Danio rerio: one gene and its partners. The protein of the gene in region 2 interacts with the protein of the main gene of each other region in a biochemical or structural test. Links are inferred from orthologs where the notes say so. Each region holds a gene or a part of one and is shown on either strand. Other genes may lie near its edges.

Evidence for each region.
Region 1: the proteins of ep300b (region 2) and jun form a complex in vitro, tested with the Homo sapiens proteins (5 studies listed by BioGRID, with this or other methods). The link is inferred for Danio rerio from reciprocal best matches to the Homo sapiens genes EP300 and JUN.
Region 3: the proteins of ep300b (region 2) and ptmaa form a complex in vitro, tested with the Homo sapiens proteins (2 studies listed by BioGRID). The link is inferred for Danio rerio from reciprocal best matches to the Homo sapiens genes EP300 and PTMA.

The regions. Positions count from the first base shown.
Region 1 is NC_133195.1:16,778,312-16,782,574, reverse strand, and holds jun (transcription factor Jun), read right to left. Parts: upstream 2,701-4,263; 5' UTR 2,432-2,700; coding exon 1,505-2,431; 3' UTR 841-1,504; downstream 1-840. UniProt on the Homo sapiens protein: Transcription factor that recognizes and binds to the AP-1 consensus motif 5'-TGA[GC]TCA-3'.
Region 2 is NC_133178.1:23,792,263-23,796,360, forward strand, and holds part of ep300b (histone acetyltransferase p300), read right to left. Parts: intron 2,861-4,098; coding exon 2,280-2,860; intron 1-2,279. UniProt on the Homo sapiens protein: Functions as a histone acetyltransferase and regulates transcription via chromatin remodeling. Acetylates all four core histones in nucleosomes. Histone acetylation gives an epigenetic tag for transcriptional activation.
Region 3 is NC_133181.1:32,300,902-32,305,536, forward strand, and holds the start of ptmaa (prothymosin alpha-A), read left to right. Parts: upstream 1-1,495; 5' UTR 1,496-1,595; coding exon 1,596-1,640; intron 1,641-3,935; coding exon 3,936-4,004; intron 4,005-4,098; coding exon 4,099-4,186; intron 4,187-4,308; coding exon 4,309-4,523; 3' UTR 4,524-4,635.

The DNA of each region.
Region 1 (4,263 bases), on a different chromosome or scaffold from region 2:
TCGACAGAAACATAGGGGTCTGAATAAAATGCTGATTTTGATGAAAGTTTAAGATGGCATTTAGAGGTTTTGCATCTAAACTCTTTATATATTCATATTTTGCGTTGTTCAACAGAATAAGGAAACTTGTTAAGCTTTGAAACCACTTGAAGGCAAGTAATATAGTGAGTAAATAGCAAATAGTGAGTCAATTTCTTATTTTGGGGTGAACTATAATTTACAATGGGTGTTTATTATTTGCAGCATTATTTGCCTATAAATGTTAGTAAATCATTTTCATCAGTTTTAACATTTGATAGCCTAAATAACACACTATTGTTATAAGGAGTATTTTTAAATTTCAACCATTTATTAATTTAATATTAAGTCATTGTTGCTGGTTAAATTGTTAAAACTTGTATACATCTTCAACTTCTACAATTTTTTTTAACATATTTGCAGGCTAACACTAACCTTAATAAACTTTTGTTTCAGTTGACACAAAAATGAGGCCATGATTAAAGGCATTGGTCTATTTAGTACTTGACTGTGTGATAATTACTTGATAATTTCAGCATTACTGATTTAAAGAGTCAATCAAATTATGTGTCTGCTTTATTTTGATGTAAAAATGTTATATTAAGTTTGCATTTAACCTTTAGCAATTAAGCATGTATTTATAATGTTATTATTTTTAATTACTGTAAGGATGTTTTTTGACACCCTTTTTTCCCAGTCCTGTCTGTGGACTTTACAAAACAGCCAGTCTCTTCCAAAACATGTTATTACATGTTTGTCAATTTGAACACACACACACATACACACACAAGCGTCATTTCCATTAAGACAACAGAGACATTGTTTTTCATTTGACATACTTTATTACAGTTCATAAATATTGATTAGTTTCTGAGGTGCTCAGAAAACAAACATAAAAAATTATTGTACTTTACTTACAAATGGTAAACTTAAGTACTCCTGGTTGATCATATTTACAAATAACAATGAGTGAAACCTCATTAATGAACTTTTTTTTTAGAAAAAGAAACTGCTTAAGTTGGACTAACTCAAAAGGAAAAAAGTCGATTTCCGTTCAATTTAAGAACAACAAAAAAAGTACAATATGTAGCTCAGAAGTCAGGCAGCTTTTTTATCAAAAGTTTAGCAGACACAACGTCCTGCTTGGTGAGCCAGTATCCCTACTGTACGGCAGTCGCGTCTCTGTTTTACTCCTATAATACTGAGTGCTCCTTTGAAGCGTATAGGTCCATGCACAACCTGGTCGATGTGAACAAGGATTTCGTCAGAAAGTAAAACATGTAACAGAGTGAGTCTCATGCGCTCTGCGTCTCTGTCGGACCGAGTGAAGTTTTGCGCTCCTCAAAAGTCCAGTCGGATCATCCTTTAACGGCACGCGGCCGGCCGGACGGTCCCGGTCCCCGCGGGCTCTGTCGCGCCAGATCGCAGACATCAAGCCCCTGAAGTTTGTTTATGTGGCTGAACTCAAAATGTCCTTCGGCTCTCCTCAGAAGGTTTGCAGCTGTTGTGTCAACATGAGCTGGCAGCCGCTGTTGACGTGGTTCATGACTTTCTGCTTGAGCTGTGCCACTTGCTCGCGCAGCATGTTGGCGGTGGACGCGAGCTCCGAGTTTTGCGACTTCAGGGTCTTGACTTTGTCCTCCAGCCGGGAGATCCTCTCCAGTTTCCTCTTCCGGCATTTGGACGCGGCGATTCTGTTTCTCATGCGCTTCCTCTCGGCTTTAATCCGCTCCTGGCTCTCCATGTCGATAGGAGAGAGCGGTGGGGTCTCGCCGGGCATCTCGGGCACCGTTTGGGGCTCCTCTTTCAGGGCCTGGAGGCGCGGGTGCTGGACGGGCAGCTGCGGTGGTGCGCTCGGGAAGCTCATCGCGGCTGGATTGGCCGAGCTGCTGCTGATAGCAGGGTTGAACGTGTTCAGATCCGCGTAAACCGGCGGATCAGCGCGCATGGCTGAGCTGTAGACCGCACCGCCCGCTATGGACGAGACCGGTGCCATGCTGCTGTTGATAGTAGTTTGGGGAGCCGAGGTGACGTTGGGCATGTGCTGGTGGTGCAGCTCAGCCAGTGCCCTCACAAAGCCCTCCGCGAACCCCTCCTGCTCATCCGTCACGTTCTTGGGACACAGAAACTGGGTCGGAGTTGGCGTCGTGGTGATCATGCCGTTGCTAGACTGGATGATGAGCCTCTCCAGCTCCGGTGATGCCAGTTTGAGAAGTCCCACGTCGGGAGAAGTGAGGATATCGCTGGCTTTGGCCCTCAGGTGGGGCTTTAGGTTCCCCGCGGGGTCGGACAGATTGAGCGTCATGTTGTGTTTCAGAGCCTTGTGGTTGTATCCAAAAGTGGCGCTGTCATGCTGAGAGAAAGCGCTGTTTAGAGAGTCATCGTAGAAAGTAGTTTCCATCTTGGTAGACATAGAAGGCAAAGCGAAACTTTTAGTTCAGAAGCAGTCTTTTAGGCGCTGTTAAGCACTGTCCGCGTTCAGTAACGAGCGCTGCGGTGTTTGGAACAAAAGCGAGAGGATTGGAAAAGTTCCTCAACTCCCCGTCCCGCGAGAAACTTACTGCGTAAAGTTATCGCCAGTGTCACGGGCTCGTCTCCTCCTGCCTTCCGCGGATAGAAAGTTCTTCCTCCGCCGCTGTCGCGCTTCTCAGACACCAGCAGATAAACAGTGCTTAGCCGAAGGCTTATTTATGTTGGTTTGAGTGAGGTGTTTCACTGTGGCGAGGTCTGTATACTCTGAGCTTCTCCAGCGTGGAGGCAAACCTTATCTGCTACCGCTGCCCCACTAAAAATAGAAATGATGTAATGCGCGCAGCCTCTCATTGGCTGGAGGCGTTTTACTGGGCGTGTCACAATTTCAGATAAGGCGCGTTGCCTAGACGACCACCCAGAAGATTCTACTCGCGGTGCCTGATGGGATGAGGTAATGCTGTAAAGCAGTGCATTGTGGGATTACGTATTGTTTTTGAATATCTGGTTACCCGCTTAGCTGTTTTAGACCGTGGCGGGATACAAAGAAGCAGAGTAATGTACAACGCGCCACTTTTAGAACTTAAACTTTACTATAAGTTTGAGAAGAAGAGGCAGAATAAATGTGTGCCGCTGTATGTTTGAGAGTTGACCAATTCTTGCGCGAGTTTCGCAAGACGCGGCCATTCTTTAACAACAGCAAGTTCCAAACACTCTCTGGATCCAGTTTAATGTATTGCATATACATCAGTAAGGTAAAAAATATATATTAGAAATACAGTTTGGAGTCAGTGAAACTAATTTCCAACCTTACAATAAAATGTTGAGGGAGATTTAAAACGAAAAAAAAATAGAAGAAATGCCTTCTGAAATAATAAATTAAATAAGCATAACTTGATGTTACTCATTTTGTTTGAATATAATGTTAGATTAGCTGATTAAAAGTATTTTTTTTTAATCAGTCGTTGAAATATATTATGAATTAATTAGTATTTGCTAATTTTACTCTTCTTCACTTCCAGCACTCCCTTGTTGGCCCCCTGGGGGTCCCCGAACCCTAGTTTAAAAACCTCAGTGTTATACAGGCATACATAATTTAATCTGGCACGAAGAAACAGGGCTATAGTCTGCTTTTTTATGCCAAAGTGCATTTGCTCCGTCAGCCAATGGTCTAAAAATGGGGGCGTTTCTTATTGTGGAGTGACAGCGTGCCACAAAGTCCAGCCGCCGTATCCGTGACAGTCCCTAGAGATCCTCTCAAAAGTGCAAACAACCCTGTTAAACGTCACTGCGTCAACCACAACCACAAACTGATCGAATATAGCGTGACAGCTGACAAGTGACGTTTCAGTTTACTTTCTGAGATTTTTACTGACGTTGCTTAAACGTATGTAAAGACACAATAGCTAGTTTATTTGTATTTATAACAACATTAGTAAGATAAATATACAGGTAATGTTGAGATGGACATTTGCAAGAATGGTCGTTTTTATTATTGTTTATTTTATTAATTAGTTTTTGTTATGAGTACATTAAAATATGGTTGATTCTACTGTTTTATAGCATATAGGTCAAAGTAAAGAGAAGACAGTTTTTTTGTGTTACTGTTACTCTAGCACTTATTGATGGTCTCTGACATGTTTCACTTTGTTACAACAGATCAAACACTCGAGCACAGTGCCACTGGATACAAAATATGGACTTTATACACTGTTTAACAACCTATTTATCTTGTGATGATCATCAGTGGTATTTCTATCACTTTTCTCATATATA
Region 2 (4,098 bases):
ACCACCGTCCAAAGACATGCAGTACAGGTGAATTGAATTAGTTATAAGTTAAATTGGCAGTACTGTATAAGTATGTAGTAAAAAAAAAGAAGGAAGGAAAGAAGGAAGGAAGGAAAGCCTAAATCTAAAGAAAAACCTAGGGAAGTGCCGAAAGAGCCCTGATATTAACTACAATTACATACCTCATAATAATTATTAATTACATTATCTGATATACAACTATGGGTAAAATCAACAATGAAATTGATTGTCAATGAATGGCATAGCAGATTAGTTGGGCTGCTCAAGTGACTGAGAAGCATGACGACAAGATAGAAAGCCCCTCGTGCAATGGCAGGTACAGAAGCAGCTGATGGAAAAAAATCATGCACCCCTAGTCCTCCAAGGTATCAAAAAATTTTACATTAAATGCCTTAAAAAGGATAATACCCCTCACTCTACGAAAGACTGAATTTTCGAGGGACAGAAGTACTGGCTCTAAATTAAATTAGCTTAAATTAAATGGTGGGATTAGAGTGAGAGACTCCATATTTAAAATCAACAGACAACAGCAGTAGTAGAATATCACAATTAGTCTATGTTATGGTTTTCAGCTCATTTTAGCTGATTTCTTCCTCTGTTTCAAAAAGAAATTGTTGCTGTTTATTTGTTTATTATTTATAATTTTGATATTTCAACAAATTCTGCCATTTAATATCTCAATCTTGGCATGCTTATGTTCTAATTTCATAATGTGAATATAACAGGTGTACAACACTTGTTTTGCTTGTATTTTAGATATTTAGAAAAATTTTACCGTTCTAAAACAAACCGCTTAGACAGATTTAAAATGTCAAAATCAAAGATCATTGACCTCAATATGCGGCTTTTATATATATTTCTAAGTACACTTTCAGTGCTTCCTATACATAGACTTTAGTTGGGCGGGAAACCCAGGTAAATTAACGGATGCTAAAGTATATTTAGTGACACATCTTTTTACTATTATTAACATCCAATTACCAAGCATCCACATTCGATTAAGTAGCGAAAAATCTTCTCATTCACCCGTTTTGTTCTGTGCGCGTCAGACCTGTCAACACTCCCACAGACCGTCGCACATGCTTTGCAGACCCACAGAGATATGCCTTTTTCGGGACTTATAAAATTAGTCCGGCCCAGGTTTCTAAATCTCTTAAAATGTCCGGATACAACTTTTGCTTTTGCTTTCTAAAGCTCTTATGCGTTTTTGCATTACCTTATTACTTAATTCAACTTTCGCTTAAGTTTGTGACTGACTGCGCATACACAGTTGTGCGAGCAAGAGAAACATTCAACAATTCATTTTTTTCAATCTAAACGACTCAAAAAAACTTTAGTATATATTAGAAGAGGACAAAATGACTGGTCTAAACTGGCTGCAAAATGTAAACCATTAAGTTATTCAACGCATTTGCCTTATTTAAATAATCGTATAACAGAATTCATTTTTCTTCCATTTATTTCTCATTTATTGATTATTTTATTAATTTGCTGATATTAGTATATTACATAGGCTATCTTTTAGCATAAAATAAGAGAAATAGTGGATTACTTTTTTTATTCCAACAGTCCTTTTTACTTTAAATCATTGAAAAGAAACAGTTTAAAACAGTGTCACAATAAATAAAATTGTTAAAAATGTAATTACGTTAAAAAACATACTAAATATACAGTTATACTATATATTCATACCTCATAGTATAACTGTTTATGTGCTGCGGGTAAATGGCGTTTTTCAATCCGGCTACCACAGCAAGTATATTTCAAACATGTGGGACGTACTGACATTTACACATAAATAACAGCCTAATTTAGAGTTTTATACAGCCATAATAAGCAAAAGGTCACATCTTAAAAAGTACTCAGCACTTTATCAGATTAATCTGGAAAAAAAATATTGGCCAACTAATCAATTATCAACATGATTGCTAGTTGCAGCCCTATATTACATAGCCCATTATTTGAACAATTCGACAGGACACACTCAACAAAACTGTTCAAAATGCCAAGGGAGGTCACATTAAACACCAACTTTAACTTAAAGAATCATTTTTATCCTAATTAGTTTTGTTTTGTAAATTTATGTTAATATTTCCCGTATTTTCTGTTCGTATCTTAATAGAAAAGTAAATTTGGATACACATTCAGAAGTGTGTACAAGTCTTCGTCAATCAAAAGCTTTTCATACAAATAAAAATCTGTACAAGCACACAGAATCCTTTTTCTCATTATTACACCCTGATTTGTTCCCACGTTACCTTGTTCACTGCTCCTGGTTGCTGCGGTCTCATTGCTGCCTGTGCCATCTGCTGCCCTGCATTTGGCTGCTGCAGAGAATCGGGCAGCATATTCCCGTTGCCAGCCATGCCTGCATTCATGTTCACATTGGCGTAGCCCATTCTAGGTGCACCATTCATCATCTGCCCACCCATCATACTCTGCGGCTGTCCATTCCCTTTCTGGGTGCCCATCATGGCTCGGTTCAGTCCCCCCACCATGCCAGGCTGCGGCATCATGCTAGGCTGCTGCTGAGGGCCACCCATTCCCTGAGTAACAGGGCCACCGCTCAGACCTCCCATCATTCCTAAGGAGGCAGCGTTACCGGGGCTGCCGGTGGCCGTGGAGGCGGATGGAGGAGCACCAGGGCGGAGGAGCTCAGACAGGTGCTTGTGTTTGGCCGCAGTGTCTTGGCCCGAGACGCCCAAAGGGCCTGACATCCCTCCTCCACCCAGACTGGTGTGCAACTGGCTGGGGTCCATCCCGTTTGGAAGGCCCAGGTCGGAGGAGTTAATGAGCTCATCTGGGAGGTCATGCTCCAGGTCAAACAGAGAGCCAAAATCTGAAAGACAGGAAAACAGACCTTTAGGTTGCCGCTCACAAAAAAATCATTCTCAATTAGATAAATCAAAGCATCATTAAGGCCTGCTCACACATAAAATGATAAGCATACCCCGTTTCCACCTGGAATAATGTGTTAAAGTGAGAAAAAAATCTAAACAAAACTAAAATCTGTCAATTTATGCACCCTCTACTTCCTCCAAACTTAATTCTTCTGTTGCACAGCAGTGAAGAATGCTGGAAACCTGTAGCCATTGACTTCCATAGTATTTGTATTACGTACTATAGATGTCAATGGCTACCGGGTTCCAGCATTCTTCAAAATATCTTATTTTGTGTTCAACAGAAAAAAAAAAGGTTTGGAATCATTTAAGAAGCAGTAATCGTTCATTTTTGGGTCATTATCCATTTAAAACGCCCAAGTTTATTAAAGTAAAGAGGAACATAATTCCCAAAAATTGTTTCTCCTTGTCATTACTATTATAGACATGTCATGCATTAATATATAGAATTATATCTTTAAATCATTATCACGCTTGGTGTCAACAGTATGAGCCATTGGAAAAGCAATCCAATTTTACTGAAGTGCATATGAATGTAACTTGTACCTAAAAAAACCTAAAAGACAGTGAAATGAACAGCAAGTCTCCAGTGGTCAAATATCATCCGGTTAATCGTCTCGGTCAATATATCGGTCTATCAATCAGTATACAGCAAGAAATCAACAAAATCTGACCGAACTGCAACTGAACAAATCTCTGCTGTTGGCTGCAACAGATGATTGTGATGAGAGACAGAGCATTGGAGAGCAGTATGCAGTAGAACCGGTGTGCATGTCCTAATGGTTCATACTAATAAAAAACACATGGTATGGCATAACAATGGACAAGCTCTGGGACAAAATGGGGGCCTTTTTCCTACATAATGGCAGGTCCTGATAACAGAAACATACCAACAACTAATACATTGAACATACTCTACATATGAATCCGGCAAACTTCTGAGCGCTTGTGAGGGACTTATAGAAAAGCAAAGCGATTAACCTGACAACGTCATGAATAACTAAATATTTTGTTTACCATTTTGGCTGTTTTAAAACAAAAGGAAACGGGGTATAACAGGGTTGAAAATTGGTAAAATGCCACACAGGTAATATAAAAACCTGATTTCATGAATTGCTGTCACAATATAATTAAAGAATTTTTTAATGCATGTATATTTAGACATGCTCATGATTAA
Region 3 (4,635 bases), on a different chromosome or scaffold from region 2:
ATGACAAGGTTGCAGTTTTTAAATCTCATTTTAATGCCTCGTTAAATACTGTATTGTGCAAATAATAATAATAATTTTTACTTCTGTAACGTTTGTAGCTACTACACTACAGCTCTCTGTAAACTTAGCGCTACTGCAACTGTTTTGTTAGTGAGATAAATAGCTTGGGATATGTCTCATTTGCAAGTCTCTTTAAATAAATGCGTCGACTAAATGATGACAATAAGTAACCTGTTAGTAATTACCCTTGCGAAAATCCAGTCCTGAGCGTGTGTTTGCTAACACCTTTTATCTGTCCTTGACATGAAAATGGAGAAATGAAAAGGGAAAAGACAACGCTCCAGTTCCATGTTTTCTTTAGCACCTTAAAAAACGATACTTCAGTTGATTGACGTTGGCTTTATCCAATCATCGCTCGCAAAGCGTCAAGTCTGTGTTCGTTCGGCCCAATCGGCCAATAAGAAGACTTTAAGACGCCATATGGAATTTCAATCAGCCATGTTGGTGAGGTAAAGACGTACACCATTACATTTTCCCCGCAGCGTGCAAATTTTAAATTTCATAACCTATCTAAACGACGAAATGTATGTCTATAAAACACTGCGTTTACTGAGATTATCCGTTGTTTTTCATCAGGCATTCGAATCATTCATGTTTGCAAGTGCGAGTGAGATTCCGCTTAACATCAGGCATCTAAAATCGCGACTTTTGTCTTGTTCTAAATAGAAGAACCAACTGTGTATTATTTTTGTATTATTTCTTAACTATATCGTGTGTAAAACCCTACACAACTCCTTAGGATAATATTTTACAAAGGCTACCCACTTACCAGTGGAAACATTGGTAAAGAGGCGGGTTTTAAGAACTGTCAGTCAAATGTTGAGCAGGTTTCACCAGTGGGGCGTCCACAAACTGCCGCAATATTATATTCATTCAGCGTGACCTTTCGTTCAGATAAAGAAAATGGTTATGCGCTTCCTAAAACAAATAAATGATCATTTTAGTAGTATTTGTAACCTCTGTGCTTGCATACTGATTAGATACATGTTTGTATAGTTTACAAGACAGCGTTTTGTGAAATTTTAACATAGTGTTTATGAATAACGGGGTGATAAAATATTGTATGATGACAATTAAATGTCACTAAATGTAATAACACATCAGGAAGCATGCATAACACACTAGACCTGGCTGGCTTTCTCTTTGTGAAATCGTTGTTGTTTTTGTTTGTTTTGTTTTTTTAGCCATTGAGTCCATCTAGGCCATCCATCATTGTGAGGTTGACCAGGATAGTATATATCGACAGTTATTCCACACATAAATGAGTCAGAGGCTGGTTTGAAGGCGGGGTCCGACTTTGTAGAAATACTGTCCATTGTTCCATCAAGACCAATCTGCGAAGCAGAGTCGCTGGCATGTTGACCAATCAATGGACAGCGCCCGCCTCCGAGCTCCGCCTTCCTTCTATAAAAGTGCTCTGCCGCCGTCTGAGCTCGCTACAGACCCTTAGTAGTCTTTTTTATCATTCGCATCTCGTGTTTCTCTTTATATTATTTTATTCCGAGACCCCATTATAATCTTAACATTTAGGAAAAATGGCTGACACAAAAGTCGATACCAACAAGGACGTCTCCGCAAAGGTAATGAATACAACTTCGGCTTACACTGATTTGTAAAGATGCTGCTTTTTATTCATATGAGCAGACGAGCTGTATGAAATATGGATTGTGGAATGGAAATCAGCATACAGCTTTATTGGGATATTCTTGGCAATTTTTTGTAGGTGTTTTGTCCTCTCACTGTCACTTTGAAGACTTCGTGGATGTAAATTCGTGAAGTGGAGATTTTTACGGACACATTTGCAACTAAAAGGCTTTTTGTTCGTATTCTGCGCGGGGTCTTTGTTTATGCAGGAGGATTTTCGGTTCCTCTTTAAAAAGTATAGTGAAAGAGATGGACGCAGAGGATCGTAGGCATTATCTCCAGTCTGCTCATTTGGTTTAGTTGCTCGAGTTTGATTATTACTTAATACAGACTCGGATATACTGACGGAGCCTCGTAGAGTCCGCGAGACGCGGTGATTCGTCAGCCCGCAGCTCGATCTGTCACAACTTACCGCAGCCCTCACGATGTCTGATGCCTCTGTTTATAGCACGTTTCCTTGATGTTTAATGTAACGTTAGAGCTGCTTTCTTTTTGACTAGTGTTTAAAACCCAAATTTATCATTGGGATTATTATGTTCAGAACCAACCTGCTTCACATGTACGCTCCATTCAGCGGGACTTTATCAAGGGTTTAATTCACGTTGCCCTCTAAGTTCTGTCAAGTTCGGCTTATAGTTCACTTTTTGTGGTGAAACAGAGTTCATCATACAAGATTGATCAGCTGCTTATGAGATTTATGTGGATCTAGTCTACCTGAACCTACTTTGCACAGCGTCGGGATAACGTTAGGTGATAATTAACAGGAAATAACAGAAAACGAGGCTCTTCTTTTGGTTCACGGAAGAACTGGTTAGTCTGTATCGAAACATGAAGAAGTTGCTTCTATCAGCGATCGCAGCTTGTGCGTAAACTTCTCCGGCGAAACCCCGCTGCGGATGCAGCAGTCTGGCGGACTGGATGAGCTCTATTGTCGCGCGCGGGCAGCGCAGCAGGAGAGCGCGAAACCCGAAGTTACGAGCACCCGTGCAGGCAGCGGCTCTGTTTCACGCTGCTTATATTTGCAAACAAACTAGATCGACGCATTTGCAGGTTGCTTCTCGCTGTGATGCTCCTTCAAGCGATTCACGCACGAGCGCCGCGTTATAGGACGCAACGGCTTCATTCATCTTTTAAAATGTAATCTCGGGATCCTACATCTATCTCCGTTGCGCTGCGCTCCGTCGGGCTGCCCGAGAGCGCAGGACCGCGCGCTGGTGAACGGCCCCGTTCAGTGCATGTAGCCGAGTGCGCGCTTCTCACTGGTGTCCTCACTGGTGTCATACGAGGATCTCCTACTCCAGTTGTGGACACAACATTTTGACCTGTTTGTCCTTTGTTGCATCTCTTGTTTGCCTACGGAAGACGGAGATGATTTCCGCTTCAGCTTACTGCCCACATTGTTTGTTTGATCAATAAATGGGTCAGTATTATCTCGTAGACAGTGGCAAATGTCCATTATTCATGTACGGCTCACTGACGCTGTGAAGCGGCATGTAGTGGTGACGGTGTGTGAGAAGGCGTTGCAGGCGTGTTGTGGACACTAACCGGCTTAAAAGCTGAGGATTATGACCTAAATTTATTAATGCGAGCGAGCTGCTGCATGAAAGCACATCCTGGTATTCGGGACGATGCGCTTTTATACGGAGATTCAACGTGTTAAATAATTAGATAAATAGCATTGCTCATCTTAATAGTAATGGTCATTCTCGAGAGAACAATAGTATAGTGCTCGAAAAAGACGAATTATTAAAGGCCTTAATGCACAACGCTATTGTTCCCCCTCCTCTCGCTCTCTCTCTCTCTCTCTCTCTCTCTCACTCACTCACTCTCTCCTTTTCTGAGGTTTATCGGTCCTGCCTCTTTTCGGTCGAGTTCGCTCTCCTATTGGCTGACTTAAAATACTCACTAATTGTGATCTGGGAGTTGTAGTTTTTTAGCGGGCGTGTCTTCATCAAGCGTAATGATGTGGATAATAAACTGAACTACAGCGCACTTTGGCGGTAACGCCATCGCCGTATCAAATTACAACACCTCAATATGGTCTTTAAACCAGGCGGGGATGGAAGAGACAGGCGTCCAATGAATAAAGAGAGAGAAAGTGTCGCGTTTCAAATGTGAAATGAAAACACGTTCCGCGAAGATGAGAGGATGTGAATTTAGCTCTGCTCACGCTGTTTAGTTAAGAGAAGCAACCAAAGAATTTACAGAGAAATATTTTGTTCCTTATTTAGGACCTCAAAGAAAAGAAACAGGTTGAGGAGGCGGAAAATGGAAAGGATGCTCCCGCGAATGGAAATGCGGTACGATTCCAAATAATTACTTCACAACATAAAGTTTTCAGTACTAAAAGACCTCAAGTACGACCATTAATAACCCATAATGCTATTATTTTAGGAAAACGAGGAGAATGGAGATCCAGAAAATGAAGTAGATGAGGAAGACGATGATGTGGCTGAAGAAGATGAGGAGGATGATGGAGAAGGTATGTTTATTTAATGAAAGTAAAAAAAAAAAAAGCTTTTAAAACATCTGCTGTGGGTTTAAACAATTGACAACCAAAATGTGTAAATAAAGATGAATTACTAAGGTATTACCACATTACAGGTGATGACGATGATGAAGATGAGGAGGCTGAGGGTGGAACGGGAAAAAGAGCGGCTGAAGATGATGATGATGATGAGGCAAGTTTACACTTTATGTTACTGAAATCCTCAGATAAAAGTAAATTCCTCAGGCTGACCAAACGACTTCAGTGTGTAACTCTGACCCTTTTTTTCCAGGATGATGTTGATCCCAAGAAGCAAAAGACTGATGTGTAAAAAGCTTCACTGCTGGAAATGTTCTCATCCCTCCTTTCCTTAACTTGTTCATCAGGGGAGGGGTCAAAAAAACGTGGTCATCATCAAGTAGAGTCCAGCATCCGTGTACACA